Linked DNA regions of Anolis sagrei. The protein of the gene in region 2 purifies or fractionates together with the protein of the main gene of each other region. This does not show direct contact. Links are inferred from orthologs where the notes say so. Each region holds a gene or a part of one and is shown on either strand. Other genes may lie near its edges. The genes, in order: DROSHA and SRPK1.

Region 1 (15,295 bases), about 95 Mb from region 2:
GTAGCCATATCCCCAGATAAGACTTGTTAGAACAGACAATCTTGTTTTGTTTTCTATCTGAAGCAATGAAGAGTTTCTGCTTCAAAAGGGGCTGTTTCTGTTGCTTCATAAAGAACCTTATTAATTTCACTGTGAAAATTACTCCACGTGTTCCTTTGTTATTTATATGTGTAATGTGGCATTGAATCTTGGCATACCTGTAAGCCAGTTTGAGTCCGTTTCGGGGTGAGAAAAGCGGGGTAGAAATATAGTAAATAAAATAATAAATTTATTATAATTCCATTATATATTGCTATTTGATTGACTTGTTATCATTAGGCAAATATAGATCTATGGAATGACTGGATTATATGAATCGGAAAATGATTTTAGTAAGGAGATGCTAAGGATTTATGTTTTTATTGGTTTTGTATGGTTTTTATATTATTTGCTAAATGTTTTAAAATTGTATTTGGGAGTGATCCTGGACTCATCGTTGAGCCTAGAGCCCCAGGTTTCAGCGGTGGTCAGGGGAGCTTTTGCACAATTAAAACTTGTGCGCCAGCTGCGCCCGTACCTTGGGAAGTCTGACTTGGCCACGGTGGTCCACGCTTTCGTTACATCCCATTTAGATTACTGCAACACTCTCTACGTGGGGTTGCCTATGAAGACTGCCCGGAAGCTCCATCTAGTCCAAGGTGCAGCAGCCAGAATGCTAACACGAGCAGGGTACAGGGAGCATACTACTCCTCTGTTGCGCCAGCTCCACTGGCTGCCAATTAGCTTCTGAGCACAATTCAAAGTGCTGGTGTTAACCTATAAAGCCCTAAACGACTCCGGCCCTGTTTACCTGTCCGAACGTATTCTTCCCTATGAACCATCTAGGTTGTTAAGATCGTGCTCTCGGTCCCACCGGCCTCTCAGGCGCATCTGGTGGGGACGAGGGACAGGGCCTTCTCAGTGGTGGCCCCTCGACTCTGGAACTCTCTCCCACTGGAGATCAGAACTGTCCCCTCCATTCTGTCATTCAGAAAACGGGTGAAAACCTGGCTATGGGGTTTGGCTTTCGACGAGTGAATCAATATTTCTGTGATTGGATAGATGACGATGAATGATGGACAATGAATTCACTATGACGACTGACCATAGTTATTATGTGGTTGCATTTTGCTGTTATAACATTTTAATTGAATATATTATATGATGCTTTTAATTATTACTATGTGATTTTATTGTTGGAAACTGGCCCGAATCCACCGATAGAGGGGAGAAGACTGGTATACAAAATTGCTAAATAAATAATAATAAATAAATATTTTATGTTGTTGGCGGCATCAAATTGTGCTGACTGTAAATCGTCTTGAGTCACCTTTGGGCTGAGAAAGGCGGTACATAAATACGGCAAAATAAATAAATAAATAAATAAATAAGCTAAGTTGTAATTATTCACCCTGGGATCATAATGAAAAAAGGCAGAAGAAGCATCTTTTTAAAAACCCACTTGCTTTATTTGCTCGATGGAGGGAAAATGGAATAGAACTATAACACTTACTTAGGAGTAAGCTCTGTTAGGATGACTTATTACTGAGTGAGCACACATAGAACTGTACAAGTGAAATGAGCAAAATACAGTAATGTGTGGCCTGAGGTGGGAAAACGAGCTAGCAGTTCTACTAAAATTAGTTAGAAAACATTTATGAGAAAATGGAAGCAGACAAGAATAGCGAAACACACATCAGATCTAACTCTTTGCACTCTGCTAGGCGTATGCTGTACCCTGAGTGCCTTGTAAGCTGTCCCGAGTCCATTAAAGGAGATGGTGGCGGGATATAAATAATGATGATGATGATGATGATGATGATAATAATAATAATAATAATAATAAGGCAAACACATATTTACCTGATTGTTGTGGTGGAAGTGTCTTTACCCACTAAAAAATGATGGGTCCCTTCTTCAATTTGTTGAGCCCACACTGGATGTAACCATATCACTTGTGAAAAATGGCCAGCATAAACAGCAGGCATGATCCAGTTCTCAATACTTAGCTCACTGTAAAAGAACACAAGGTTGCATGCACTGAAAGGAATGCTGCTGTCAAAAGACATGGGCTGGCATATCACATCGTCACAATACATTTGCACATCTCAAAAGCAAAGGCCAGTATACAATATGAGTATACAATAAATGTGGGAAATACGAGTATACAATAAATGTGGGACAAGTACATGAGCAAACAGTAGGAAAAAAATTGAAACTTTTGTGATCAGCAATCTAAGGGTGAATCTACACTGTAGAATTAATGGTTTGGCTTTACTTTAACTGCCATGGGTTTTCTATTCTTTTCTATGGCACACAGCAAACAGAGGAATTGATCAGCAACTGAATGTACTAGCGAGGTTTGGGGAGAATTAACCATAATTTATAGGAATTGAAGGTACTGAGATGTATAGTTCACCTGCAATCTAAGAGCACTCTGAACTCCACCAACAATGAACCTGGAACTAACTTGGCACATAGAGTCCCCATGACCAAACAAAAAATACTGGAGGTCTTTGGAGGGAATCTATAGAAGTTGTAGTTCACCTACATCCAAAGCACACTATGAACCCAAACAATGATGGATTTGGACCAAACTTAGTACACAGAACCCCTATGACTAACTCAACCTACTGGAGGGATTTGAGGGGAATGATTCACCATAGTGGGAGTTGTAGTTTACCCTACAGCCAAAGAGTACACTGAACCCCACCAATGATGCATCCAGAGCAAAACTGCCCAACATAACTTTAAGTACTGATAGAGTGTTTTTGGGTTAACCTGGCATGATTTAAGTTGTAGTTCACCCACAACCTTATGTATTTTGTGTAATTTAAAATTTGACCTTTTCAAATAATCCGGACAATGCTAGGTACCCAAGCTAGTAGAATTTAAAAATAAGGCAAATGCAAACACATATGAATATAATATAATATAATATAATATAATATAATATTATATATATATATATATATATATATATATATATATATATATATATATAATTTAATATTTGTATCATGAGCGTAAAACTTAAAATATTACATTATAATTCTGTGATGTTGGGTTGGTCCAGAAATGAAGCAAGACATCAAAGGCAAAGGAAACCACACTCTTTACTTCCTGTATGCATAAAAATCTAGTGTATGAACAATCAGATCACAGGATCCTACCTAAACAGAGCTTCTTTGTCAAACACTGTGTCTGCAGGCATATTCACTGGGATGAGAAGATCTGGGTGAGAATCCAAATGGACAAAGCTGATGTTGCAGGCAGGAAGGTGCTTCGAACCAATGCCTCGGTAAATGAAAGGAAGAACCTAAAATAACAATGATACACAAGCATTTAAATCGAGGCAAAGACAGATTATAGAGAGCTGGGCCAAAAATCAACCAAACATTCCAACAGGAAGAATTGTATAGTACTATGCTTATGCAGAAAAAAACACCTGGCTTTACAACAGTACATGTAAAAAAGATATTGGAGTCTTAGTAGACCACAAGCTGAATATGAGGCAATAGTGTGAAGAAGCAGCAGCTTAAAAAGCCAATGCAATTCTAGGCTGCATCAATAGGAGCATAGTGTCGAAATTTGGGGGAAGCCATGTTGCCTCTGATCATACCTCGCCTAAAATACTGTGTGCAGTTTTGGGCATCAAAAAGGATATTGACAAGCTAGAATGTGTCCAGAGAAGTGTGATCAAAATAGCAAAAGGTCTGGAAGCCGAGCACCATTTGGAGTGACTTATACAGAGTTGGATATATTTAGCCTGGAGAAGGAAAGGTTAAGGGATGACATAACAACCAAGTCTAAATATTTGAAAAGGTGTCATGTTGAAGTTAGAGCCAGCTTATATTTCAGTGTCCCAGATATGAAGCAATGCATTCAAACTGAAAGAGATTCCACCTAAATATTAGGAAGAGCTGTTAGTGGAATATATTGCTTCAGAGTGTGGTAGACTCTCCTCTTCTGGAGGTTTTTGAACAAGACGCTGGGTGGCCATCTGTTGGGACTGCTTTGATTGGGTGTGTCTACATAGATGTTGGAATGGATGGCTCTTGGTGTCTCTTCCAACTCTATGATTCTATGATAAACTGTTATTGAGAAAGAGGGAGTCAATTGAGAAGAGCAACCGGCCACCAGCTCAACATGACAGTGAGATAGTGAATTCACTTCAGGCATTAAACTAACCTTTAAGGCAACTATCCAATGTGCTGAACCTTGCATAAAATATATTAAGTCACTTGGAGAGCCCCATTAAAACTAGCTGAAACCTCAAGTGGGTTTGCCACCTTGCAGACATGTGAGCTACCCACCACCACAAGAGGTAACTCAGCGTGCATTTTTACAGCCCAGTCTGTGTATATGTGTTTTGTGTGTGTGTATATGTGTATATGTATGTGTTTGCATATATGTGTGTGTGTGTGTGCATATATATATGGTTTTGCGCATGCGTTGTAATGTTGTTGTTTTTTGGCATTTTAAGTCTCTTCTGCTGTGTTTTTCAGTGTTTTTAATTAGTGATGGTCACTCATTGGCCTGATAGGTGTATTGTGTCCAAATTTGGTGTCAATTCGTCCAGTGGTTTTTGAGTTATGTTAATCCCACAAATGAACATTACATTTTTATTTATATAGATCAACCCAGTTTGACACCATTTTAACTGCCATGTATCATTTCAAATGGTCTTTGGTTGGAGTCCTGGTGCCTCACAATCTACAGGATTCCATAGCATTGTGCCATGGCAGTTAAAATGGTGTCAAACTGGAATAACTACGCAGTGTAAATGCACCCTAGGAATTCTTAGGGCCCTTTCGCACAACCATATAACCCAGAATATCAAAGCAGAAAATCCCACAATGTCTGCTTTGAACTGGGTTATCTGAGTCCACAGTGCCACATATTCCAGTTCAAATAAAAAAATGTGGGATTTTATCCAGGTATGTGGAAGGGGCCTTACTATAACCTTACTGCAGCCTATTCCTACACATTGTTACACATAAAGAGCAACTCCCAATAAAAAAGTTGCTGAATGCCACCAATGTCCACAAATTTGTTAGCAACAACGTGAAGTATTTACACTGGATTTTGTAGGAGATGGATTCAAAGGGCCCTGCCCTAAAGTTCCAATGAATGGTTGAAAATGTCAAAACTTTTTTTTTAATTCCCAAAAAACAGTAGATGTATGAATATTTCTGAAAGTTGTGGGGAACCATCACCTATTATCTTGTGTCATTGTACAGAAAATTCAAGCAGATTGCTCTTGTGGTTTTTTTAAGTTGTTTATAAAAACTTTGAAAATTCCCCAAAAATCCATAGATGAGTGAAACCTTCTGAAATTTGGTGAGCTAACAGTGCCAAATATGTTCTGCCACGGCAGCACGTTTCATTCCATTAGCTTTAAAAATGAGGGAGATAGGAGCCCATGAACTTTCTCCAATTTGAGTAATTACATGCAATTACAGTAACGGAAAAGAAATGAAATTCCGTTACTCACGTTATAGTAACGATTTTTCCCCAGTAAGAATACTTTGGAAACACTTTAGAAACGAAATGCCAGTTTTGTAATGACTTTTGAGCCATTTTTTTTAATGGATCGCACATCCCTAATTAAATAATAGTTGACACCACTGTTATGGCTCAACACTATGGAATCCTGGGATTTGCTACTTCATCACACTAGAGAAAGAATAATAACAACACTTTATTTATATTCCGCCCTTCTCACTCCGAAGGGGACTCATGGCGGATCACAGCACACATACATGGCAAATATTCAATACACAAACAGACAGAACAGAAAGGAGGTGTTATCGACTCAGTGTCCAGCTGTTTTTGGTGCCAAGAAAAGTGAGTCCAACCACAGGGGGTGCTGTTGCTCCATTTGCTATGACAAAGAGCTGTCAGAACTTCCTCCTTCCTCTTTGGTTGCCCAGCATTTTCTAATATTCTTTCCTTATGGCACCGTAAAACACCTCCCCCACTTTTAGCAGTACCTAATTTCTCTAATTACACCGAAAGCTGTTTCTGAACTGCTTAGGTAAACAGTGAGCTAGGCTGACAGTCGACCGCTCACACCGACCTGAGGCTTTGAACTTGCAACCTTTGGGTTAACAGATCTTATAGTTGCTGGTGATTTACCAGCTGTGCTAAGCCGCCTGGGTGATAGTATGATAGCTGGATCCGGAAGCTCCGAGCATTACGGAGATGCCACAAAGGTGAGTGTGAATAAGGGAAGGGGGGGGCAGGAGTGAGAATGGGGAGAGAGAAGTAAGGATAGAAAGGAGGGGATGCTTTGGGTAAGGTTTAGGACAAGGTTTAGGGTTTGGGTTAGGGTTATAGTAAGGTTAGAGGTTTCAGTTAGGGTATGGTTTAGGGTTAGGGTAAGGTTTTGGGTTTGCGTAAGGATTAGAGTAAGGGCTTAGACTTATGCTGCTGTTAGGGTTTCACCATTAAAGAACTTGGTGATAGTATGATAGCTGGGTCTGGAAGCTCCCAGCATTACGGAGATGCCACAAAGACGGGTGGGGAAAAGGGAAGAGAGGGGGTGGAGTGAGAGCAGGGAGAGCGAAGGAAGGATAGAAAGGAGGGGACGCTTAGGGTAAGGGTTAGAGCAGGGTTTGGGGTTTGGGTTAGCGTAAGGGTTAGGATAAGGGTTAGGATAAGGCTTAGGGTTATGGTAAGGGTTTGGATAAGGGGTTAGGCTAAGGCTTACGGTATGGTTCAGGGTTAGGGTTTGGGTAAGGTTTAGCGTAAGAGGTTAGGCTTAGGGTTTGGGTAAGAGGTTAGGCTTAGTCTTACGGTATGGTTCAGGGTTTGGGTAAGGGTTAGGGCAAGGGGTTAGGGTTAGGTTAAGAGTTTAGGCTTAGGCTTATGATATGGTTCAGGGTTAGGGTAAGGGGTTTGGGTTAGGGTAATGGTTTAGGCTTATGGTATGGTTCAGAGTTAGGGTTTGGGCTTAGACTTCCGGTACGGTTCAGAGTTAGAGTTTCACCATTAAAGAACTCTTACATTCCTTCTATATTATCTGCCTCCGGCCTGGCTTACATTAGCTAAGTCTTTCTTGCGCAAACAGCGCTCCTGAAGGAGCGATGCGGCATCTTGCACGGAGCTTCCAGACCCAGCTATCTTACTATTACCACCTCTGGTGGCACAGTGGGTTAAACCCCTGTGCCGGCTGGACTGAAGACCTACAGGTTGTAGATTCGAATCAGGGGAGAGTGTGGATGAGCTCCCTCTATCAGCTCCAGCTTCTCATGTGGCGACATGAGAGAAGCCTCTGACAAGGATGGTAAAACATCAAAAACATCCGGGCGTCCCTTGAGCAACGTCCTTGCAGACAGCCAATTCTCCCACACTAGAGATTTTCAAGCAAAATTCTCAAGCTGCATCATTTTATATTAATTAAATCATAAACACCATAATTAAACAAAGAATAGAACTTTGGACACATGTATAAAATCATGCAGTTTCTCAAGTCACTCCTGATACGACAAAATAAACAAACAAACAAACAAATAAATAATAAGCAACCACCTCCTGCCCAATGAATCCCCTCTAAATCCGGTTTCTGCCTCCTGCAGAATTCTGGGGTTTGTAGTTTAGTGATGCTGTTAAAGAGTCCTCCCTAAACTACAAATCCCAGAATTCTTCAGGAGTCAGGAGGAGGTAGCAACCAGATTTAAAGTGGAATCATTCTCTAGTGTGATGAGATCCTAACAGTGAGGTATCATAGCATTCTTTTGGGAAACAGTAGCTTGTCAAGTGACAACCATCTCCATGGCAGCTGAAGCGGTGTGGATGCCCCCTGAGTCACTGCTGAAGTCAGAAGTGGGGTCAAAGGGCCCTCATTCCGCTTGCAGTAAGCAGTCGCGCAGTGCTTACGTCGTGATGGTCCTCCACCACCCAGACCGGCAGCGCTGTGTAGAGCCTCCGCGAGCTCCCCGCCCCGCCTTCTTCCTCCTCCTCGCCGCTCATCTCGAACGCTCGAAGACCCAAAACCGAACGCTGCGGCCGGTAACGTTCCAAGGCCCGGGCGCCGGCAGCCTTCCGGGGGGAAGCCTCTCGAGGTGACACAGGCGGCAGGCATGGTGGGAAAGCGAGGAGGAGGAGGAGCAGGAGGCGGAGCCATGGACCTCAAGCCGCCGGAGGGAAGAGGGAAGAGGCCAACAAAGGGCGCCGATGCCGCTTCCCTCCCTTTGCAAGAGGCACAAACACAGGGCTGCCCAAGGCGTCTTCCCCTCTGATGTCTTCCTCCGGCCCTTTCCTCTTCCGGGGCTCTCCCGCCCTTTCCCCCCTCCGCCAGCCCGGATTCTAGGTAAGCTTCTTCCTCCAGATCTCTGCTGTAGACTGCACGCAGCTTGGCTCCATGCTGTCCTGGGGTTTGCCGTCCACACTCTTGCCAAACCCAATTCTGCATGGCTGCATTCATTCTACAAAGGCAGAGCTCCTTTGCTGTGGATGCCTTCCTCCCCGGGCCCTTCCACACTGCTGTGGAGCCCAGATTATCAAGGCAGACAATCCCACAATATCTGCTTTGAACTGAGTCCACACTGCCATATAGAGCTGCGTGGAAAGGGCCTATGATTATAAAATCCGAGATGATGTCCCCTTCCCTTCCTCCAGCACTCTTTGGCAGGAAAGACTCTAAAGAACTTGCAAAACTACAACTCCCAGGATCCCTCCTTATTCCCATAACATTGAGGCCCCTTCTGCACTGCTATATTATCCAGATTACCAAATTGGATAATCCACATTATCCTCTTTGAACTGGATTATATGACTTCACATTTTTATTCATCTTGTCAGGAGCAGACCGAACAGTTGCGGTGCCTTTTTTAACAAACAAACAAACTAACAAATAGACAGACAAAACACAAAGTTTGCAAGCTTGGTAGTTGATTAAATGTCCTTTGACCAGTATCTGGCCACTTGGAGTGCCTCTGGCGTTGCCGCAAGGAGGTCCTCCATTGTGCATGTGGCTGGGCTCAGGTTGCATTGCAGCAGGTGGTCAGTGGTTTGCTCTTCTCCACACTCGCATGTCGTGGATTCCACTTTGTAGCCCCATTTCTTAAGATTGGCTCTGCATCTCGTGGTGCCAGAGCGCAGTCTGTTCAGCGCCTTCCAAGTCGCCCAGTTTTCTGTGTGCCCAGGTGGGAGTCTCTCATTTGGTATCAGCCATTGATTGAGGTTCTGGGTTTGAGCCTGCCACTTTTGGACTCTCGCTTGCTGAGGTGTTCCACCGAGTGTCTCTGTAGATCTTAGAAAACTATTTCTTGATTTAAGTCGTTGACTTGCTGGCTGATACCCAAACAAGGGATGAGCTGGAGATTTATTATTTATTTATTTACTTTGCTTATATACCGCTGTATCTCAAGCCCGAAGGCGACTCACGGCGGTTCACAAACAGTAAAAACAGTAGAAACAGCAGTGGTTCCATACAGCATATAACAATTGACTTAACACATTATCCATAAATTACCAATAAGCAATTACAATGCACAATTATTACAAAAAACAACCGTACCCAATCTTCTCATCATCCAAGCGTAGTCCAGGTTCGTCGTCCATTGTTCCATTCCTATGTTCCATTACCAGATTGCACTAAATTACTCAAACGCCTGCACAAACATCCAGGTCTTCACCTTTTTGCCTCTGCCTTGGTCCTTTCACTATTGGCTGCTACTTCCTGGCGGATGTCAGGTGGTGCAATACCAGCTAAACAGTGTAATTTCTCCAGTGGTGTAGGGCGCAGACACTCTGTGATAATGCTGGTAGGCTGTTAGGAATGGTGGGAGTTGAAGTTGAAAACACCTGAAGAGCCAAAGTTTGCCCATGCCTGCTATAGAGCTTTTACAAAACCCTTGGCCTTCTCTGGCAAAGAGTGTTGATGTTCCAGTAAACAACAACTCCCACAACACAGCCATAATAAATTCTTGTTCTCTTGGCTTTTAGGTCTGTTCCTGGAGTTATAGGGTTCAGAAAATTGGATTGGGTAGACTGCATAAGCTCCGGTTTCTTAGATATGATTTTCTGTGGGTGAACAGATGGCGACTGGTGGGTGATGATAAGAGAAAACTGGTGCCATTTTTTGGAACTAGAAGATCAAATATACGCAGAAACAGGGCTAACATTCAAGGCACCAAAATGTTGGCCAGCGAAGCATTGAGATGTGTCAGTTAAAAGTGGTGCCAGAGTGCATTAATTCTACTGTGTAGATCAGTGGTTCCCAACCATTTTTTTTGACCAAGGACCACATTGACCAGGGACCACTTTCCAATATTAGTACCAAAAGGGTTAGGAATTGGTTGTTGGTCAACTTTACATTTGGTTTAGTTATTTGGGGTGCTGAAAATTGCATTGGATAGAGCACAGCAGCTCTAGCTTCTGATACAGAAAGTTTGCCATCCAGTAGTCGCCATCTGCTCAACCACAGAAAACCATATTTCATAAGCTGGTGTGGTAGTACTAATCTTTCATGGGTAGTCAGCCTCTCCCCTCCTGACAGCCTTGTTGCCTTGGCATGATAAGAGGGTTTTGAGAGACCAGTCGCTCTCGTTTGCCGCATGTTTTCGAAGCAATGGTGTAGTCATGGTGATGCCACAGACCATATTTTCGTTCTTGGGGACCACTGGTGGTCCACGGACCACAGGTTGGGAACCGCTGATATAGTGGGCCCAAGTATCCTAAATGTGCCAGATCCTGTCTGATCTTGGAAGCTTAACAGCCCTGGTTAGCACTTTGAACAGAGATTTCCAATGAATACCAAGTTCTGTAGGCTATATTTCAGAGAAAGGATCACTTAAAACCTGTGAGTATTGCCTGAGGAAACTCCATGAAATTCATATAGTTGCCATTGTTAGGGACTTACACACTTAAGAGAAGCTGATAACTAAAATATTGTTATTATTTTACTGACACAAAAACATAGTATATTACAGCAAACGAGATCTATATGCTGGATTTCATATCACAAAATCACAAGTTGAACACTTCCCAAGCATCTAGGACTGTGTGGTGTATTTTCAAATGATTTGTGGAGATCCAAGCAAGGTGGCCTTTTGGAGTTGACAGATCATGATTTTGCCAATGTTTATTGTTTCCAAATGCTGGCTGAGATCTTTTGGCATGGCACGCAGTGCACCAATGACCACTGGGACCACCTGTACTGGTTTATGCCAGAGCCTTTGCAGTTCGATTTTGAGATCCTGATAACGGCTGAGTTTTTCCTGTTGTTTTTCCTCAATGTGACTGTCACCTGGTATGGCGACATCAATAATCCAATTTTTTTCTTTTCCACAATCGTGATGTCTGGTGTATTGTGTTCGAAAACTTTGTCAGTCTGGATTTGAAACTCCCACAGTATTTCTGTATGTTCATTTTCTACAACCTTTGCTGGTAGGTTGTACTTGTGACGTAAATTCCAGTGAATTATTTGGGCGACAGAGTTGTGCCTTTGTTTGTAGTCCGTCTGTGTGATTTTCTTGCAACAGCTGAGGCTATGTTGTTGCAATTATTGTTATTATTATTGCTAATACCAATCAGTTCATGTTTATGTTTATGTTTTTTGCTGTTGTGGTTCCTTAGCAATTGAACAGATTGGAAGAAAAAAAAGTTGGTACACTCTCTAGTCAAAATAAGAAGTGATATGATCTGATTTAACCCCATTTTCAGGATTATTTCTTTCTTTCTTTCCGAGCTAAACCCATTTTCAGGATGTCTTTCTTTCTTTCTTTCTTGGAAGGTGAACGTCCAACGAGTTAGGACCATCCCTCTAGACAAGAACTGTTGTTTTATTTGCTCTGAGATTTTATTTTTCACTTTTAGCGAGACTTGTGTTTCCTGTTTGAATGTATCTCCAAGAAAAAGGCCTGATCTTGCACGAAGAACCCTTCCTTTCAACATGAAAGATTTTTTTATATCTTGTAGTGCATTGGGGTTCTCACTGGGATCAGAAACATTGCAAGGGTTCTTATTTTAGCTGGACACAGTCAGTGTCATGATCCCCAAATGGAAGTACTGTCACAAGAAAAGAATCAAAGTCACAAAGGAATCCAGAAGCACCTTTGAGACTATCAAAACCGCCTGAAGAAGCCATTTCAAGTATAGCTTTTGTGGATACAGTCCGTTTTTGTCAGATACATTTGATGAAGTAGGCAGTGTTCACAGTAAGAGATATTAGAAATGTCTTCTTTTCCATTAGTCTCAAATACGCTATTGGATTCTTTTGTATCTTTTAATCCTAAAGCAGATTAACGTAGCTATCTTTTTGAAGAGAAAAGAATGGCTACCCTAAGGCCATCTAAGTGAGTTGGTGGCTCCACGGAGATTGTCGAGCGGAAAAAAAATCCATAAGGCTCATGAATGTAGTGGTGGTGGGGAGATGTACAGTATTGAATACTCTTAGTAATGCAATGCTTGTATTATAGCGGAACAACTTTGTTCGCTCACATTGGGCATTTTATAAAAGTTTTTCAACACTCATTTCTGAGGCCTGCCTTCCTTTTTATGTTCTCTGAGTGCCTTTTTTCCAGCACCACTTTAAGACATCCCTCTTTTTAAAAAATCAATTTATTTGATTCCAATCACTTCCCTGTGCATGTGATTTGAAGTGGAGCTTTTTCTGACTCTTGTTCTTAGAAACTAAGTACCTGAATCAAGTTTTTAAAATCTGGAAGGTGATTACCAAAGGAGATATAAAGCGTCTCCCTCTAAGAAGTATTTGCCTTAGAACAGTAAAGCTCTTAACATTAACCAGGACATGACAAAGGAATATATACAATACTCAGCGTATCTGTGGTTGTATGTCTATGCCAATGGTTCCCAACCTGAGGTCCGTGAACCACAAGTGATTCTCAAGAACTAAAATTGGTGTGCGGCATCACCATTACTACACTGTTGCAATGAGGACGACTGGCCTTACAAAACCCTCTTATAGTGCCGAGGCTTATTAAATATAGTTTTCTGTGGGTGAGCAGATGACGACTACTGAATGGCGTATGTTCTGTATCAGAAACTAGAGCTGATGTGGTCTATCCAATGCAGTTTTCAACATCCCAAATAATCAAACTGAATCTAAAGTTGACCATAAACTGATTCATAACCCTTTTGACACTAATGTTGGAGAGAGGTCCCTGGTCAAAAAAAAAAGGTTGGGAACCACTGTTCTATACAGTTGGCCCTCCATATTTGTGAATTTCATTATTAGTGAATTTGAATAATACATTTTCAATAGGAATTCTAGGCCCTACAGCATGTGTCGATGGACCTAGAGCAGTGTTTCTCAACCTTCCTAATGCCGCAACCCCTTAATACAGTTCATCATGTTGTGGTGAACCCCAACCATAACATTATTCTCATTGCTACTTCATAACTGTAATTTTGCTACTGTTATGAATTGCATTGTAAATATCTGATATGCAGGATGTATTTTCATTCATGGGACTGAATTTGTCATAAATACCCGATATGCCCAAATTCGAATACTGGTGGAGTTGCGGGGGGGGGGGGGGGGGATAATTTTGTCATTTGGGAGTTAGTTGCTGGGATTTATAGTTAACCTACAATCAGGGAGCATTCTGAACTCCACCGATAATGGAATTGAACCAAACTTGACACAGAGAACTCCTATGACCAACAGAAAATACTGGAAGGGTTTGGTGGGCATTGACCTTGAGTTTTGGAATTGTAGTTCACCTACATCCAGATATCACTGTGGACTCTAACAATGCTATATCTGGACCAATACTCAATATGCCCAAATGTGAAAACTGGTGGAGTTGGGGGAAAATAGATCTTGACATTTGGGAGTTACAGTTGATCGGATTTATAGTTCACCTATAATTAAAGAGCATTCTGAATTGTACCAATGATAGAATTGGGCCAAACTTCCCACACAGAACCCACATATCTTGAAGGGACTCATTGGTGTGAGCCTCCCTCTAGCCTTGCATGCTTTCCCTTGCCTGCATCACGCTGCTGTGCCACGTCTGCTCTCCCCTCCACACTTGGAGTCTCAGGAACAGCCCTACCCTTGGCTGAGAGGCCGGCTGAGAGGCCGTCCAATCACAGCAGAGGAGGGCTTTTGGTGGGCGGATTCACTGTCTGTTTCCAAAAAGGAAGAGAAGGACAAGCAGAGAGATCTTCAGCCTTTTCTGCCAAAGGGGTTCCTAAGGCCAGAGGCAACTCCTCTGAACCCCCCCCCCCTGTGGTCCTGACCCCAAAGTTGAGAAACACTGGTCTATACAGCTGGCCCTCTACATTTGTGGATTTCATTAATAGTGGATTTGAATTTTCTCAATTTCTCTAGAAATATCTAGGCCCTTCAGCATGTGTCCATGGACCTAAAGTTTCCTGGAGGGTACACTTCTCTAGGTACTTCAGCAATGATTTTATGGTCAGCCTTTGACAAACGGAGAGATTTTTAAAGAGATTTTCCCCCCAGAGGGAAAAAAAAATAACTGGTGCTTTTTTATTCATGGTATTCCAACTCTGTCACTCCTTCCCACCTGCTACTAAGGAGGCTGTCGAGGTCCTGAACCGGTGCCTGGCCGCTGTAACGGTCTGGATGAGGGCGAACAAACTGAAACTAAATCCAGACAAGACAGAGGTACTCCTGGTCAGTCGCAAGGCCGAACGGGATATAGGGTTACAGCCTGTGCTGGACGGGGTCGCACTCCCCTTGAAGGCGCAGGTTCGCAGCTTGGGTGTGACCCTGGACTCATCGTTGAGCCTGGATCCCCAGGTTTCAGCGGTGACCAGGGGAGCATTTGCACAGCTTAGGCTCGTGCGCCAGCTGCGCCCGTATCTCGGGAAGTCTGACTTGGCCACGGTGGTACACGCTCTTGTCACATCCCGCCTGGATTACTGCAACGCTCTCTACGTGGGGCTGCCCTTGAAGACGGCCCGGAAGCTTCAGCTGGTCCAGCGTGCGGCAGCCATGTTACTAACTGGAGCGGGTAGCAGGGAGCACACAACGCCCTTGTTGTCCCAGCTTCACTGGCTGCCGATTTGCTACCGGACCCAATTCAAGGTGCTGGTCTTGGCCTACAAAGCCCTAAACGGTTCCGGCCCAAAATACCTTTCTGACCGCATCTTGGCCTACGAGCCCACGAGGACCTTGAGATCGTCTGGGGAGGTCCTTCTCTCGATCCCGCCTGCATCACAGGCACGGCTGGCGGGGACGAGGGAGAGGGCCTTCTCGGTGGTGGCCCCCCGGCTGTGGAACACTCTCCCGGCACACATCAGACAGGCGCCCTCCCTCATGTCCTTTCGAAAA
Region 2 (15,152 bases):
TAAATTCCTTTAGGGCAGGTATGGACAATTTGAAAAGTCTGGGGGACATTTTCCATTCTGCATCTAACTTACTATTGGAATCACGAAAGTCCTAATGTTTGTGCAAATTTGTGCAAATTCTGAAGAGGGGGGAGGAAGTGGAAATACTAAAAAAGATATTTAAAAAAGGAAAGTCACTTTGTTACTATACATTATCTACAACCTGGTCTGGGATAAAAAAAAATACCATGCTTTAATAGTTCATACACCATTCTAAAAGAAAGGTTCTCATAATCTATTTCCAAATTTTCCAAGGAAACATGGTTTTTAAAGAAAGCAACTGCAAATTTTCCATTTTTCCCCAGGCCTTCACATCTGTAAGCATGGCCAGCCAGTCACAAAAATTGGTAAGGGGGCGGAAGCAAGATGCTAGCACAACTCTTGTTTTAGAGAGATGAAGGCTTCCAGAGGTGCAATCTTTATTTTCAAGGCCCCATAATGAAAGGACTGCAACAGTGATATTCAAAATGTATGTGACCTAAGAACCATGTAATTCCCTTAATCAAGGGTGTGTGAAAATCTTGAGCACAAAAGCTAGTTTCTATTATATTGAAGAGCTTTGGAAGCTTCAAGTTCAATTTCCAAATGCTGCTATCTTACTCAACATCTTTTTTTTGATCACAACACTCTATTGTCCTGTCTGTAAAAGTTCAAACCAAGGCAGAATCAAACATTTTGGATTTTAGGGATCTTAATGTTAACAAATTTTGCAGGAAAAATGATGCAGATTGCATTCAACAAATGTCAACTTTTGTAGGAGTCAGAGGAGAAATCCGTAATGTGGATTACTTCCCTTACAACCCAGAACTAGGCAAGAACCATCTGTAACATTTGAACTCTTCATCTGCCCCTTCAATTTTCCTTCAAGAGGCAAGCAAAGAACTAGGTTCTTTAAACAGACATAACAAGTAAATACAAATTCTACTTATCTACCCTAGTAGTTAATTGTAAGTAACCATCAATCTGAAGATTTATCAACACTAGCCATCACAAAAAAAGAATAATTGAATTTGAGCCACATTCCAGCCAGTGGGAGAAGTTACCCTATCGTGTACTTGGTCCATCGCACTATTAGAAAGGATGAACAGGACTAGATTATCAATTCAGTTAACCCAGACCAATCCCAAAAGCAAATACCAGAGTAGTAAAATACTTTGTATTCAAATCAAGGGCAAGACATGTTTTTCTTTCTGTCTTTGTCAGAGATGGGTGGATTCTCTTTTGTCTTTCACTTTAGAAGAGTCTGAATTCAACTGTGTAGATCTGCTGGTGGAATAAGAGGGGATCCAGCAAGGGACAATACCTTCCCATTCCTATGTAGCCTCCAAAAATCCTCACTATCTGCTCTGGAGAGCTGGAAAGAAGGATTGTTGGGAAAATGGGAGGAATCTAATGCCTACTGCTTTCAGTGGAGCTATTAAAGAGGACTGCAAGTTTCATGAAGCAAACCCTGTGCTATATTGCACTAACAGGAACATACTTGTGTTTAGAAATTACTGCAAATAAGGAACTGTCAATCACTGGAAATGCTACATTTTAGCAACCAACAATTAGGTCAATGGTGAATTAGTAACATTATTTGGGACATGGATAGGGCATTCAGGTGATTTTGGTAAATAAAAGTTAACATTCAAAAAATAAAAATTTTACAAATAAAAAATGTGGAGTATTTTATTGTCAAATCTGTGTGTTAGTTCCAATAATAGGGTTAAAAACAGAAAGGATAGGTATCTCCTGAAATATTTAAAGTAATTTCTTCTTCAGGGAGTGCTTGTGGTCTTTTCAATTGTATTCTGTTACAGAGAAACCGTGCCTATTATTTATTTATTTGCTTTATTTTCCAACAAAGGTAGATGTTCAGATCCTGATGCACAAACTAGTATTTACAAAGGTTTAAGATATAAGTTCCACAACTCTCTTATTATGACGGAAGGTAAATCATACAGTTTGACCCCACTTTTACTCCCATGGCTCAATGCTATAGATTCATGGGAGTTGTACTTTTAGCCAAAGAATATTGTTGCCTCCCCAAACTATAAATCCTTGGATCCACAAAACTGAACCATGGCAGTACATTTAAAAAAGACCTCCCATTACTTCAAACTGTACCATCTTGTCCTGGTTTGAAAAACAGGTGGAGAAAGTGGTTACACTTACTTTCTTTGGGCCTTTTCTTTCTTAGCTTTGGTCCTCTTCTTCCGGGCTTGCAAAGCTAGAACTGGGAAGACATGAAAGAATAAAAGAGTCAAGTAATCTCCACTGTGGAAAGAGAAATAATAATTATACTCATCAGAGTTACTCTGCTTTAAGAGCGGCCCTTTCTTCCCAATGAAGCAGCATGAAGTCAGGCAAACCCAACTGGAGACATGCACACTTTTTACCAAAATCTTTAAATCCCACTAAATAGAAGTTGGGCATCTCTCATCCAGAATTCCAAAATGCATCCATATGGGTGGCTGAGATAGTGACACCTTTGAATGCATCTACATTATAGGGTTAAACAGTTTGACATCACGTTCACTGCCATGGTTCAATGCTATGGAATCCTGGGATTTGTAGTTTGGTGAGCATCAGCATTCTGTGGCACAGAAGATAATAGGACTCGGGATGGTTTAAACACAAAAAAGGCAATCATTCAATGCCTAGGTAAGTGCAAACACATCAAAAACAATACAGAATAGTGCACAGTAACAACAGTAAACTTATAATAGAAAAATTAAACATTGGAATGAAAAGACAATAGACTAAAACATGAGTAAACATTAAAATATATACCCCAAAACGCAGTTAAAATATATTACATTAAAAATAGCTAACCCAAGTGTTCATTTAAGACAGTGGTTCTCAACTTCTTTTTGACCAGGGACCACTCTCCAACATTAGTACCAAAAGGGCTACGAATCGGTTTTTGGTCAACTTTCGATTCATTTGGTTATTTGAGCTTCTGATTCAGAAAACTGCACTGGATAGACCAAATCAACTCTAGTTTCTGATATAGAACATTTGCCATCTTCTCACGCACAGAAAACCATATTTAATAACGAGGTGGTAGTAGTAATCTTTCATATTTAATAGTGTGGTAGTAGTAATCTTTTTTGGGTAGTCAGCCTCTCCCTTCTCGACATTCCCATTGCCTTGTCACTATAAGAGGGTTTCGCGAGACCAGTCACTCTAGTTACTACATGGTTTTGAGGCTACAGTGTAATAATGATGAGGCTGCAGAACATATTTTCGTTCTTACAGACCACTGGTAGTCCACAGACCACAGGTTGGGAACCACTGATTTAAGATGTATCGTAGCAGCCATATGGTACTAATGGCTAGAAGACTAGAGAACCTATAAAACTACAGAATTATATAGCATTCAGCCATGGCTGTTAGGTGGTGTCAGTCTGTATTAATACCACAGTGTACACCAACTTTGTTTTATGCACAAAAATATTGCATAAAATTACCTTCAGGCTCTATATATGAAAACATCATTGAATTTCGCATTTAAACCTGAGACTCATCTCCAATTTTATTCATTTATCTCATTTATATCCCGCCCTTCTCACCCGGAAGGGGACCCAGGACAGCTTACAACAAAGGCACAATTCAATGTCTTGAATACATACAGAAATAAAACATCTAATTTAAAATCACATCATTAAAAACATATCAATTAAATAATTACTTAAAATCACACCATTAAAAAACATATACCAGGAGCCACTCCAATTGTCATTACTGCACTGAAACTTTTATTGTTGCACTAGGAATCACTGTGCAAATGCTTGGTCCCATAACCAGGATTTAACTTTCTTCCTGAAGGTCAGGAGGGAGGGGGCTGATCTAATTTCTCTGGGGAGGGAGTTCCACAGCCGAGTGGCTATCACCATGAAGGCCCTGTCTCCCGCCCCCACCAGTCACACCTGCGAAGGGGGTGGGATCAAAAGCACTACCTCCCCAGACAATCTTAACCTCCGAGATGGTTTATGGAGGGAGAAACATTCGGACAGTAACCTGGGCCAGAACAACTTAGGACTTTATAGGTAAAAGCCAATATTTCAAATTGTTAATAAATTAATTATTAAAACATCAATTTAAAAATTGCCCAAATTCAAAATCATAATCCAAGGTCAGTCCATTGTCAGCCACATAAAATCACTCTCACTCTTGCTGCTGCATCTACTGCTTGAATACTTGGTCCCACAACCATGTTTTTAAGTTGTTTTTTCCCCTAAAGAACAGGCCTGATTTCACTGGGAAGGGAGTTGGTAATAGTATGAAAGCTGAGTCCGGAAGCTCTGAGCCTTACGCTCTTTCCGCTTCGCTCCTTTGGGAATACTGTTTGCACAACACAGAATGGAATACAGATATTATAAAAGGAATATAGGAATTCTTTAATGGTAAAACCCTTACCCTTACCTAAACCCTAATACTAATCCTAACCAAAACCTTAAACCTAACCTCTAAGGCTAATCCTAACCCTTACCCTACCCCAAACCCTAAACCTTACCCTAAACTTTATTCCTCCTTTCTATCCTTCCACCAAATTGAAGTATATTCCCCCCCCCCTCAGTGTGCCGCTCTCCCCTTCCCGTATTCACAACCGCTGTTGCGGAATGTGCGTAACGCTCGGAGCTTCCGGACCCAGCTATCATACTATCACCAGGGAGTTCCACAGATGAGGGGCCACCACTGAGAAGGTCCTGTCTCTCGTCTCCACCAGCCACACTTGCGAGGGGGTGGGATTGAGAGCAGGGCCTCCCCACACTGTCTTAACCTCTGAGACGGTTCATTCTGTATGTATACACAAATATAGGTATTCCAAAACCCATCCAGTCCAATCCAACAAACAAATAAATAAATGAAATCAAAATCTGGCCGAACTTATTATGTATATATAGAAATGCAAGTATCTCAAAATCCACAAATAAAATAAAAACAAAACAATACATTCCAAACCCTTCTGGTCCCCTGCGTTTCAGATAAAAGGATAAGTAATAATAGCCTACGTGGAAGCATGCTGTTATGCCACCCTCTCGAGGATCTGCGCCAAGCCTCAGGTGCCCGAAAGGCAGGCCTAAAACTGTTAACTCCCAGGGAGAGCTCTGAAGGAAAAGGCACGGAGGAGAAAACGGAAAACCCGTTCCTGCGGCTACTGGCCCGAGGGCCACGAAAAGCAGAGCCAAAGAGGGCGAAGGCCCAGCATTGGGGGGGGGGGGTGGAGGAAGAGGGGCGCCTCGCCACCCGGAGAAGCTCGCCCAGACTCACCTTTCCGCTCCATGGCGGCCAGTGATGGAGGTCCCCCGGTCCCCCCTTCGCGCGTGCGCTCTAAAGAGGCCCCTTGCGCCTGCGCAAGGAGAGGGCGGGCGGGCCGGCGCGTGCGCACGGCTGGGATCTTCGCGCGCCGCTGCGCGCGCCACCAGATCTCCTCGCCGCGGTTGCTGTCACTTCCTTCCGAGCTGGGGCTGCTAGGGGGGAGGAGGAGGGGCCCCCTCCATGGCTCTTCCGAGCGGCTGGCGCACCGCCCCCTGCTCTGCATGAATGCCAGGAGGTGGATCCACGCGTCGGGCGCCTCCCCCGACTCCCCTTGGCCCATGGGCGGAGCGCATGCGCGGTCTGCCTCGGCCCCGACGGCTCTCCCCGCTCGAGGAGAAGCCGGGGTTTGGTGGGGACGGGGAGGCCGGGAAAGGTCAAAACTGGGGCCACGTCAGGTGCCGCCGCCGCTGGGATTGTGACGTCCTCGCCGCCTGGCCGGTTCTGCCTGCGGGAGAGTTTGGAAGCCATTTGGGGCTGGACGCCTACGAGGAAGTGGGCCCGGCTTCCATGCATTAGTCCCGGTTGTGAGCGCCCCGAGACAGCAGGAGGCGCAGGGGTTCGGAGCAAACTGAACTAGCCCTGCATACCTCCACACTGTAGCGTTTGCACAGTTTGACACCACTTTAGCTACCTCTGTGGACGGCTATGGAGCCCTGGGATGTGTAGTTTAGAGAGGCATCAGCAGAGAAGGCTAAAGACCACGTGATGGCACGCCGGGATGAAAGGAAAACTATATAGCTGGCTATGCCCGGTGGCTATCGGTATACCCTCTGATGTACTTCAGTTCTTTAAAAATAAAGACTCTTGAGACAGGAATAAAGTTAACCAGATAAGTTTACTTGAAACAAAAGGCAAAGTCAGAGTTCTTGAAAGGCGAATCAAAGTAAAATATTACGAAGAGAAAGGGTTGTTGTAGGTTTTTTTGGAATATATGGCCATGGTCTAGAGGCATTTTCTCCTGACGTTTCACCAGCATCTATGGCAAGCATCCTCAGAGGTAGTGAGGTCTGTTGGAAGTAGGAAAAAGGGTTTATATATCTGTGGAATGACCAGGGTGGGGCAAAGAACTCTTGTCTGTTGGAGCTAGGTGTGAATGTTTCAACTGACCACCTTGATTAGCATTTGATGGCCCGGCAGTGCCTGGGGCAAACTTTTGTTGAGAGGTGATTAGATGTGCCTGATTGTTTCCCTTCTGTTGTTTTGCTCTGTTGTTTTCAGTGCTGGATCTACATTTCCTAGTACTAGTTGACCACCAGCTTACCACTGCATAGAGCAGTGGTTCTCAACCTGTGGGTCCCCAGGTGTTTTGGCCTACAACTCCCCGAAATCCCAGCCAGTTTACCAGCTTTTAGGATTTCTGGGAGTTGAAGGCCAAAACATCTGGGGACCCACAGATTGAGAACCACTGATCTATAGGATGTTATATGAACTTCAGCTATTGAGTTGTTCATATATTGTGCATGAATTTGAACTTTATGTATGCTACTGAAATAAAGCATTATTTTAGTGAATATATGGTTTTCATTTGAAAATAGAAATAAACACTAGATGCCACCTGTTCTGGCAATTTTCAAGAATTGACACAGGTACAAATATATACCAATGTATGATATCCATGGTTCCTAAAAGCAAACCCCAGACGTTGCTTTGGGCCTTGATCAAGAGAGAAAACTAGGGAATAAATTGTTAGAGTGCGTTCTGTGGTTAAATGATTAGTGATCTGGATTTAAGGAGCAAACACACCAATTGTTTGGAAAAAGGAAATGTAAGCTTTATTGTAAGAACGCCATTCTAAGACAGGAAGGTTACTCAGTGAATCTAATTTAACCTAGATACACCTTGGAAGGTTGAGAGAGGACTCATGGAAAGAAGAGGCGGAGAAACTTAGGGTGCTTCAACACAGAATATCAAGGCAGAGTAACCCACAACATCTGCTTTGAACTGGGTTATCTGAGTCCACACTGCCAGTTCAAAGCAGATAATGTGGAATTTTATTCAGCTATGTGGAAGGGGCCTAAGAGTATCGGTTAGGGGTTCAAATAGTTATGCAAAAGAGGGAGGACTCCTCCAGTCACTCAAACTATCTAACCCTATTATTACTGCCCACAGTGAGGCATTCTTCATTCTTCAGTGCTAAACATTGTTGCATTTCCAACAGAGATGACGATGATGATGATGATAGGTCCAATGTACTGGCAACATGGATCTCATAAAAAGATGAAAAACAGCAAATAATGATAATGATAATTTTATTTCTTACCCCCCTCTCCTCGAGGTAGGTTACAGAATAATTAAGACACATAAACATTATAAAAATACCACAAATACACATATTAAAATGTATCTCTAACCCTAACCCTTAACCAATTTGAACAAATAATACAGAAGGGAAGGGTTGTAAAAGAGCATGAAAATTTGAGAGGAATAACTAGTAAAATATATAAGATAATAATTGAAATAAAGGAAGGAAATACAAATAATAACATCCTTAAAGAGGTTTGGGAAGAAGATTTAGGGATAAAAATAAACGAAACAGAGTGGCAACAATTATGGGGACAAAGACATTTAAAAAACTTATCAATACGGGTTAAAGAAAATTATTATAAGCTAATATGGAAGTGGTATCTAACATCAGTAAGAATAGCATATATAAATAAAAATAATTCAAAAAATTGTTGGAGCGGGTGTCAAAAACCAGGAACATACATACATATGTGGTGGCAATGTAAATATGTAAATAATTTTTGGGAGAAAGTATTTAGAGAAATAGAAGATATAATGAATATGAAAATTGAGAAAAGTCCTAGTATAGCCTTATTATCACTATATAACAACAAACAATTGAACAAGGAGGATAAAGAAGTGATAAACTTATTAACAATAGCAAGACTGCTCATAGCAAGGAACTGGAAAAAAGAAATAAATATACAAATAGAGGAGTGGTACAAGGAAGCATGGAAATTGGCAATAAATAATAAGCTGACATGTATATTAAAAGTTAAAAAAGTATATGGAAACAAAGTGATTTTGATGTTGTATGGGGTAAATTTGTTGTAAATGGTTTAAAAAACAAGGAAGGTTACCGCCACAAGAAGAAATGAGATTTTGGACAGATGATATGTAAAAGTTGTGGCTTGAAATGGGGGGAGGGGAGCACAGTGGTGGGGGGAAAAAAGGGGGAAAATGCTTAAGCAGAAGAAAAAGATTATATGTTAAAGAGGGTGTTGAATAATATGTAACTGCTATAAACAAATGTATAATAAATGTAATAATTATGATAAAGTAATAAAAATATTTAAAAAATAAAAAATAAAATGTATATCTATAAAAAGATACATATTAAAATTTATTTCTATAAAATGTGTATTAAAATGCAAAAAAACACAACCCAGATTAAACAAAGGACATTAAAATTCATGTTTAAAAGCTGTTTTTATAAAAGCATCTTGGTTGAGTGACAGCAACAAAAAAATTGCCAGACTATACCAGATGCATAATTCTTAGGTGTAAAAATAATATCCCATGAGATTAGCATAAACACAAGGACTGCGAGAGAAAGTTGCACCATCTAGTTGAAGAATTGGCAGGAAAGCCACAAATGTAATCTTGGATTTCCCAGGGTGCACCTTCTACACTGTAGAATGAATTGCAGTTTGGCACCACTTCAACTGCTGTGGGGTCCAGGGAGCTGTAGTTTGACAAGAGCTTTAGCCTCCTCTGCCAAAGAGTGTGTATGCCTTGCCAAAGTACAACTTCCAGGATTCTGTGCCATTGAGCCAGGGCAGGTAAAAGTGGTGTCAAACCGCATTCCTATAGCAGGCATGGGCAAACTTTGGCCCTCCAGGTGTTTTGGACTTCAACTCCCACAATTCTTAACAGCCTACAACCTTGTTGGTCAGGAATTTTGGATATGACATCTGTTTACTGGTTGACTCATAAATTAGTGGCAAAGGAAATTATACTTGTTCAGGCCTTGGTTGTGGGATTATGTGTTTGTAATTGTTTTGTAATTGTTTTGTGTTCTGTTTACACTGTAATGTGTTAATATATGTAAATTTAATTAAAAAAAAGCAATTGTGGGAGTTGAAGTCCTAAACACCAGGAAGGTCAAAGTTTGTCCATCCCTGTTCTACAGTGTAGAGCAGCGTTTCTCAACCTGGGGATCGGGGCCCCTGGGGGGGATCACGAGGGGGTATTGGAGGGGCTGCGAAAGACCATGTGGGGGGGGGGGGGTTCAGAATGCTCTTTGATTGTAGGTAAACTATAAATCCCAGCAACTACAACTCCAAAATGTCAAGGTCTATTTTACCTAAACTCCACTAGTATTCACATTTGGGCATATTGAGTATTTGTACCAAGTTTGGTCCAGATCTATCAACGTTTGAGTCCACAGTGCTCTCTGGATGTAGCTGAACTACAACTCCTAAACTCAAGGTCAATGCCGACCAAGCCCTTCCAGTATTTTCTGTTGGTCATGCGAGTTCTGTGTTTCAAGTTTGGTTCAATTCCATCGTTGGTGGAGTTCAGAATGCTTTTTGGTAGATGAACTAAAATCCCAGCAATTACTATTCCCAAATGGCAAAAATCAACCCCCCCCCCCCCCCCTCCAAGCCCCACCAGTATTCAAATTTGGGCATATTGGGTATTTGTGCCAGATTTGGTCCAGTGAATGAAAATACATCCTACATATCAGATATTTACACGACGATTCATAACAGTAGCAACATTACAGTTATGAAGTAGCAGATGACGTCCAAATCTGTCACTCCTTCCCACCCCGTTACTAAGGAGGCTGTTCAGCTACTGAACCAGTGCTTGGCCACTGTGTTGGACTGGATGAGGGCTAACAAATTGAAATTGAATCCTGACAAGACAGAGGTCAGTCAAAAGGCCGAACAGGGCATAGGGTTACATCCTGTGTTGGATGGGGTTACACTCCCCCTGAAGACGCAGGTTCGCAGCTTGGGAGTGATCCTGGATTCATTGCTGAGCCTGGAACCCCAGGTTTCAGCGGTGGCCAGGGGAGCTTTTGCACAGTTAAAGCTTGTGTGCCAGCTGCGCCCGTACTTTGGGAAGTCTGATCTGGCAATAGTTGTCCACGCTCTTGTTACATCCCGAACTGATTACTGCAACACATTCTACACGGGGCTGCCTTTGAAGCCTGTTCGGAAACTTCAACTAGTCCACCGGGCTGCAGCCAGATTACTAACTGGAGCGACATACAGGGAGCACACCACCCCCTTGTTGTGCCAGCTCCATTGGCTGCCGATACACTTCCAAACTCAATTCAAAGTGCTGGTTTTGACCTATTAAGCTCTATGCAGTTTTGGCCCAACTTACTTGTCTGAACGCATCTCCCTCTATGTCCTGCTTTGCAGTTTAAGATCATCCGGGGAGACCCTGCTCTCGCTCCCGCCAGCATTACAAATACGTCTGGCAGGAATGAGAGACAGGGCCTCCTCGGCTGTAGCCCTCTGCCTGTGGAACTCGCTTCACAACGAGGTAGATCGGCTTCATCCCTCCTGTGTTTTAGCAAGAAATTGAAGTCGTGGTTTCCGAACCGTCTTCAAAGACATCCCCATGTAGAGTGCGTTGCAGTAATCTATTCGGGATGTGACCAGAGCGTGGACGACCATAGCCAGTTCAGACTTCCCAAGGTACGGGTGTAGCTGGCGCACAAGCTTTGACTATGCAAAAGTTGACGTGGCCACCGCCAAAACCTGGGGTTCCAGGCTCAGCAATGAATCCAGAACCACTCCCAAGCTCCGAACCTGTGCCTTCAGGGGGAGTGTAACCCCATCCAACTTTGGATATGGAATTTGACTGGAATGGTGATACGGTGGTTAATACTGTTTTTATTGTTTTATTTAATGTTCTATTTATGTTTTAATTGTTGTTATATTGCTTTGTTATATTTAATGGCATCACATTGTGCCAAATTTAAGTCATCCTGAGTCCCCCTTCAGGGGTTGAGAAGGATGGGGTAGAAATACTGGAAATCTATATATATATAAATGCTCTGTGCATAATGAGTACCTTAAAAACAAAAGAACCAGTGAACGAAATCACACCAAATTTGGCAACAAAACGTCTCACTATACAAGGAGTGGCCATCACTCAAAAAAATATTATTTTGTCATTTGGGAGTTGTAGTTGCTGGGATTTATAGTTAACCTATAATCAAAGAGCATTCTGAACTACATTAACGATGGAATTGAACCAAACTTGGCACACAGAACTCCATGACCAACAGAAAATATTGGAAGGGTTTGGTGGGCAGTGTCCTTTGGTTTTGGAGTTTTGTTTTTTTGTTGTTGTTGTTTTTTTTTTTTGTCGTGTCAGGAGCAAGTTGCTTCTCTTGTGAGAGAATTGGCTGTCTGCAAGGACGTTGCCCAGGGGACGCCTGGATGATTTGATGTTTTTATCATCCTTGTGGGAGGCTTCTCTCATGTCCCTGCATGAGGAGCTGGAGCTGATAGAGGGAGCTCAACCGCCTCTCCCTGGATTCGAACCTGCGACCTGTCGGTCTTCAGTCCTGCCGGCATAGGGGTTTAACCCACTGCGCCACCGGGGGCTCCTACTTTTGGAGTTGTAGTTCACCTACATCCAGAGATCACCGTGGACACAAGCAATGATGGATCTGGACCAAACTCTACATGAATACTCAATATGCCCAGATGTGAACACTGGTGGAGTTTGGGGGAAATAGAATCTTGACATTTGGGAGTTGTAGTTGCTGGGATTTATAGTTCACCTACAATCACAGAGCATTCTGAACCCCACCAACGATAGAATTGGGCCAAACCTCCCACACACAACCCCCATGTGGGCCACAGCAACGTGTGGCAGGGGACGGCTAGTAAGTAAATAAATAGCAACCAAAATAATTTTGTGATTGGGAGTCACCACAACAGGAGGAACTGTATTAAAGGGGTCCTGGACTAGAAAGGTAGAGAAACACTGGTGTAGAGAGAGAGAGAGAGAGAGACAGACCAGCTGGAGCTGTCACAAAATCTCATCCTTCCTGTTCTCAAGCTCCGCCTTCTTTCGCCTTTTCTTCTCGCTGCCTTCAGGCTCTCGCGAGACCTTCCCGCTGCTCCGCGGATTCCAGAGCGCTCCAGCTAGGTTCCATATTGGGGCATCTCGCTGGGAGTTTTTTTTTTTCCATCCATCTCCCGGAAGTCTCGCGAGACCTCCGCGATCGATTGGTTCTGGCATCTAAGGAAGAAGGGGAGGTCGGGAGAAGTCAGGCGCGGGCGAGTCCTCGTCGTTGCGGGGCTGAAGCGGGCTTCTTCCAGGGCGACCGCAAGCCTCCTTACGCTGAGGGGGGAAGGCTTTTTGCAGGGGGTGGGGTGAGGGGGTCCCTAAAAGCAGTTCCCAAGGAAAGAGGCGCCCCGTGTTTCCCCTGCAGCGGCACGAGGCGTCCGGGCCAGCTGAGGCGGCGGTTGGGCGCGCGCGCAGCACAGAGAGAGAGAGTGTGTGTGTGTGTGAGTGAGTGAGTGACGGAGAGACCCCTCCCCTTTCCCCCCTCCCCTCTGAAGGGGGCGGAGCCAAGGGTCCCGTGCGAGGGTCTCCCTCCCTCCAGGCCGCGCTGGGCGGGGCGGGCCCGGGGTCGCGATGACCCACGAGCGGCCCAAGTTCTACCGGCAGGAGCTGAACAAGACCATCTGGGAGGTCCCCGAGCGGTACCAGAACCTCTCGCCGGTGGGCTCCGGGGCCTACGGCTCGGTCTGGTGAGTGGCAACCCTTCGTCGAAAAGGGAGGGAGCTCCTTAACAGAGCCTCAGGGTCACACGTTCAAGGCAGACCGCCTTGGCCGCATCTGCAGTTTGACACCCCTGCAGTTGCCCTGTCTCAGTGCTGTGGAGTATTGGGAGTTCTAATTCGATGAGTTAGCATCTCTTTGGCAGAGATGGCTGAAGGCTCCTAGGATTACAATATATTCGTAATAATACAATATAAAAATCATATATTGGCCAAGTCTTTCATGGCTGGGATTATTTGCTTTAGGTTTTGTATTGTTATATTGTGTGTTGAGGCCTTGGCCTTTGTAAGCCGCATCGAGTCCTTCGGGATATGCTAGCGGGGTACAAATAAAGTTTAATAATAATAATAATAATATTTAGGGTTATGGGGGCTTGGAGAGTCTCCCGAGTACTGGTGGCTGCTGCTGGGCTCCTCCAGACCTCTGGCCATTGGCGTAATTTATTTCATTAAAATAATAATAATCACTGGATTGTTGTAGGTTTTTCGGGCTATATGGCCATGTTCTAGAAGCATTCTCTCCTGACGTTTTGCCTGCATCTATGGCAAGCATCCTCAGAGGTAGTGAGGTCAGATTTCACAATAATAATAATAATAATAATTATCTTTACTTATACCTCGCCACCATCTCCCCGATGGGGACTCGGAGCGGCTTACATGAGGCCAAGCCCAAACAACAATTACAATAAAGAAAAAAAAACCAAAACACAAACCGAAAATGCAAACAATAACAATAACATCATATTAACATAAAACATACGCATACATAACAATGTAAAAATTACAAGTAGCACAGGCAAAATAACAATAACAACCTGTGAGGATGCTTGCCATAGATGCAGGCAAAACGTCAGGAGAGAATGCTTCTAGAACATGGCGACATAGCCCGAAATACCTACAACAACCCAGTGATTCCGGCCATGAAAGCCTTTGAAAATACATTAAATCAGTTTACAAAATCAAAATACAGATGCAGGCAAAACATCAGGAGAGAATGCTTCTGGAACATGGCCATATAGCCCGAAAAACCTACAACAACCCAATTATCATATACTTTATATTACTAATAATATTACAGTTTAGAAATACAGTACAATATTGTAATATTTAATACTATATTGTGCTGTGCCAATAATATAATATATTGTATAGACATATGTTATTGATAATATTATAATGTAATACAAAATAATACTAATAATACAGTGTAATAATTTATATTTCATATTACATGTAATACTGCAGTATGGTGGTATAGTACAGTATAGTAATATATAATACTAATATTGTGCTGTGCTAATATTATATATTGTATATACATATATTATTGATAATATTACAATGTAATATAATACTAATAATACAATATAATAATTTTATATTCCATATTACATGTAATATTACAGCATAGTGGTATAATACAATATAGTAACATGTAATACTAATATTGTGCTGTGCTAATGATGTAATACATTGTATGTACATATAACTTGTAAGCTGCTCTGAGTCCCCTTTGGGGTGAGGAGGGTGGCATGTAAATGTCATAAATAAGTAAATAAATAGGATTCCATAGCACTGAGCCATGGCAGTTAAAGCACTGACAAAGTGCATTAATTCAACATCCTGACTGAGAGTACATCTACGCTGCAGAATCAGCACAGTTTGATACCAGTTTAACCATGGCTCAATGCTGTCGAATCCTGGGGGTCCAGCCATATCTGCAAAATCGTGCATTCCATAGCATTGAGCCAAGGCAGCTAAATTGGTGTCAAACAGCATTCAGCTCCTCTCCTGTGCAAAAGCTGGCTGGCTGGCGATGCCGCCTCTACGCAGGTGCATTGTGCACTGTCACAGTATCTGCTGCAGTTCGCGCGTCTCTCCTGCAAACCTCCTTGACCCCTTCGGTTCTGTCTTTGCATGCACCCCACTAGCTTTTGGTGCTGAGGAGGCAGCCTTTGGCAAAAAGGAGTTGTTTCATAATTGTTCAAGGTTGGTTTTTTTTTTGAGATTGCAAGGGGTATAAAGAGGCTTGGCATTTTAGAA

The links.
Region 1: the proteins of SRPK1 (region 2) and DROSHA purify together in Homo sapiens (affinity purification with mass spectrometry; 3 studies listed by BioGRID and IntAct, counting the BioPlex papers as one, with this or other methods). This does not show direct contact. The link is inferred for Anolis sagrei from reciprocal best matches to the Homo sapiens genes SRPK1 and DROSHA.

The regions. Positions count from the first base shown.
Region 1 is NC_090024.1:91,650,882-91,666,176, forward strand, and holds the start of DROSHA (ribonuclease 3), read left to right. Parts: upstream 1-8,138; 5' UTR 8,139-8,335; intron 8,336-15,295. Other genes in the region: C4H5orf22 (UPF0489 protein C5orf22 homolog), read right to left, coding at 1,882-2,031, 3,192-3,337, 7,903-7,995. UniProt on the Homo sapiens protein: Ribonuclease III double-stranded (ds) RNA-specific endoribonuclease that is involved in the initial step of microRNA (miRNA) biogenesis.
Region 2 is NC_090024.1:186,296,322-186,311,473, forward strand, and holds the start of SRPK1 (SRSF protein kinase 1), read right to left. Parts: upstream 5,627-15,152; coding exon 5,299-5,626; intron 2,258-5,298; coding exon 2,197-2,257; intron 1-2,196. Other genes in the region: MAPK14 (mitogen-activated protein kinase 14), read left to right, coding at 12,964-13,079. UniProt on the Homo sapiens protein: Serine/arginine-rich protein-specific kinase which specifically phosphorylates its substrates at serine residues located in regions rich in arginine/serine dipeptides, known as RS domains and is involved in the phosphorylation of SR splicing factors and the regulation of splicing.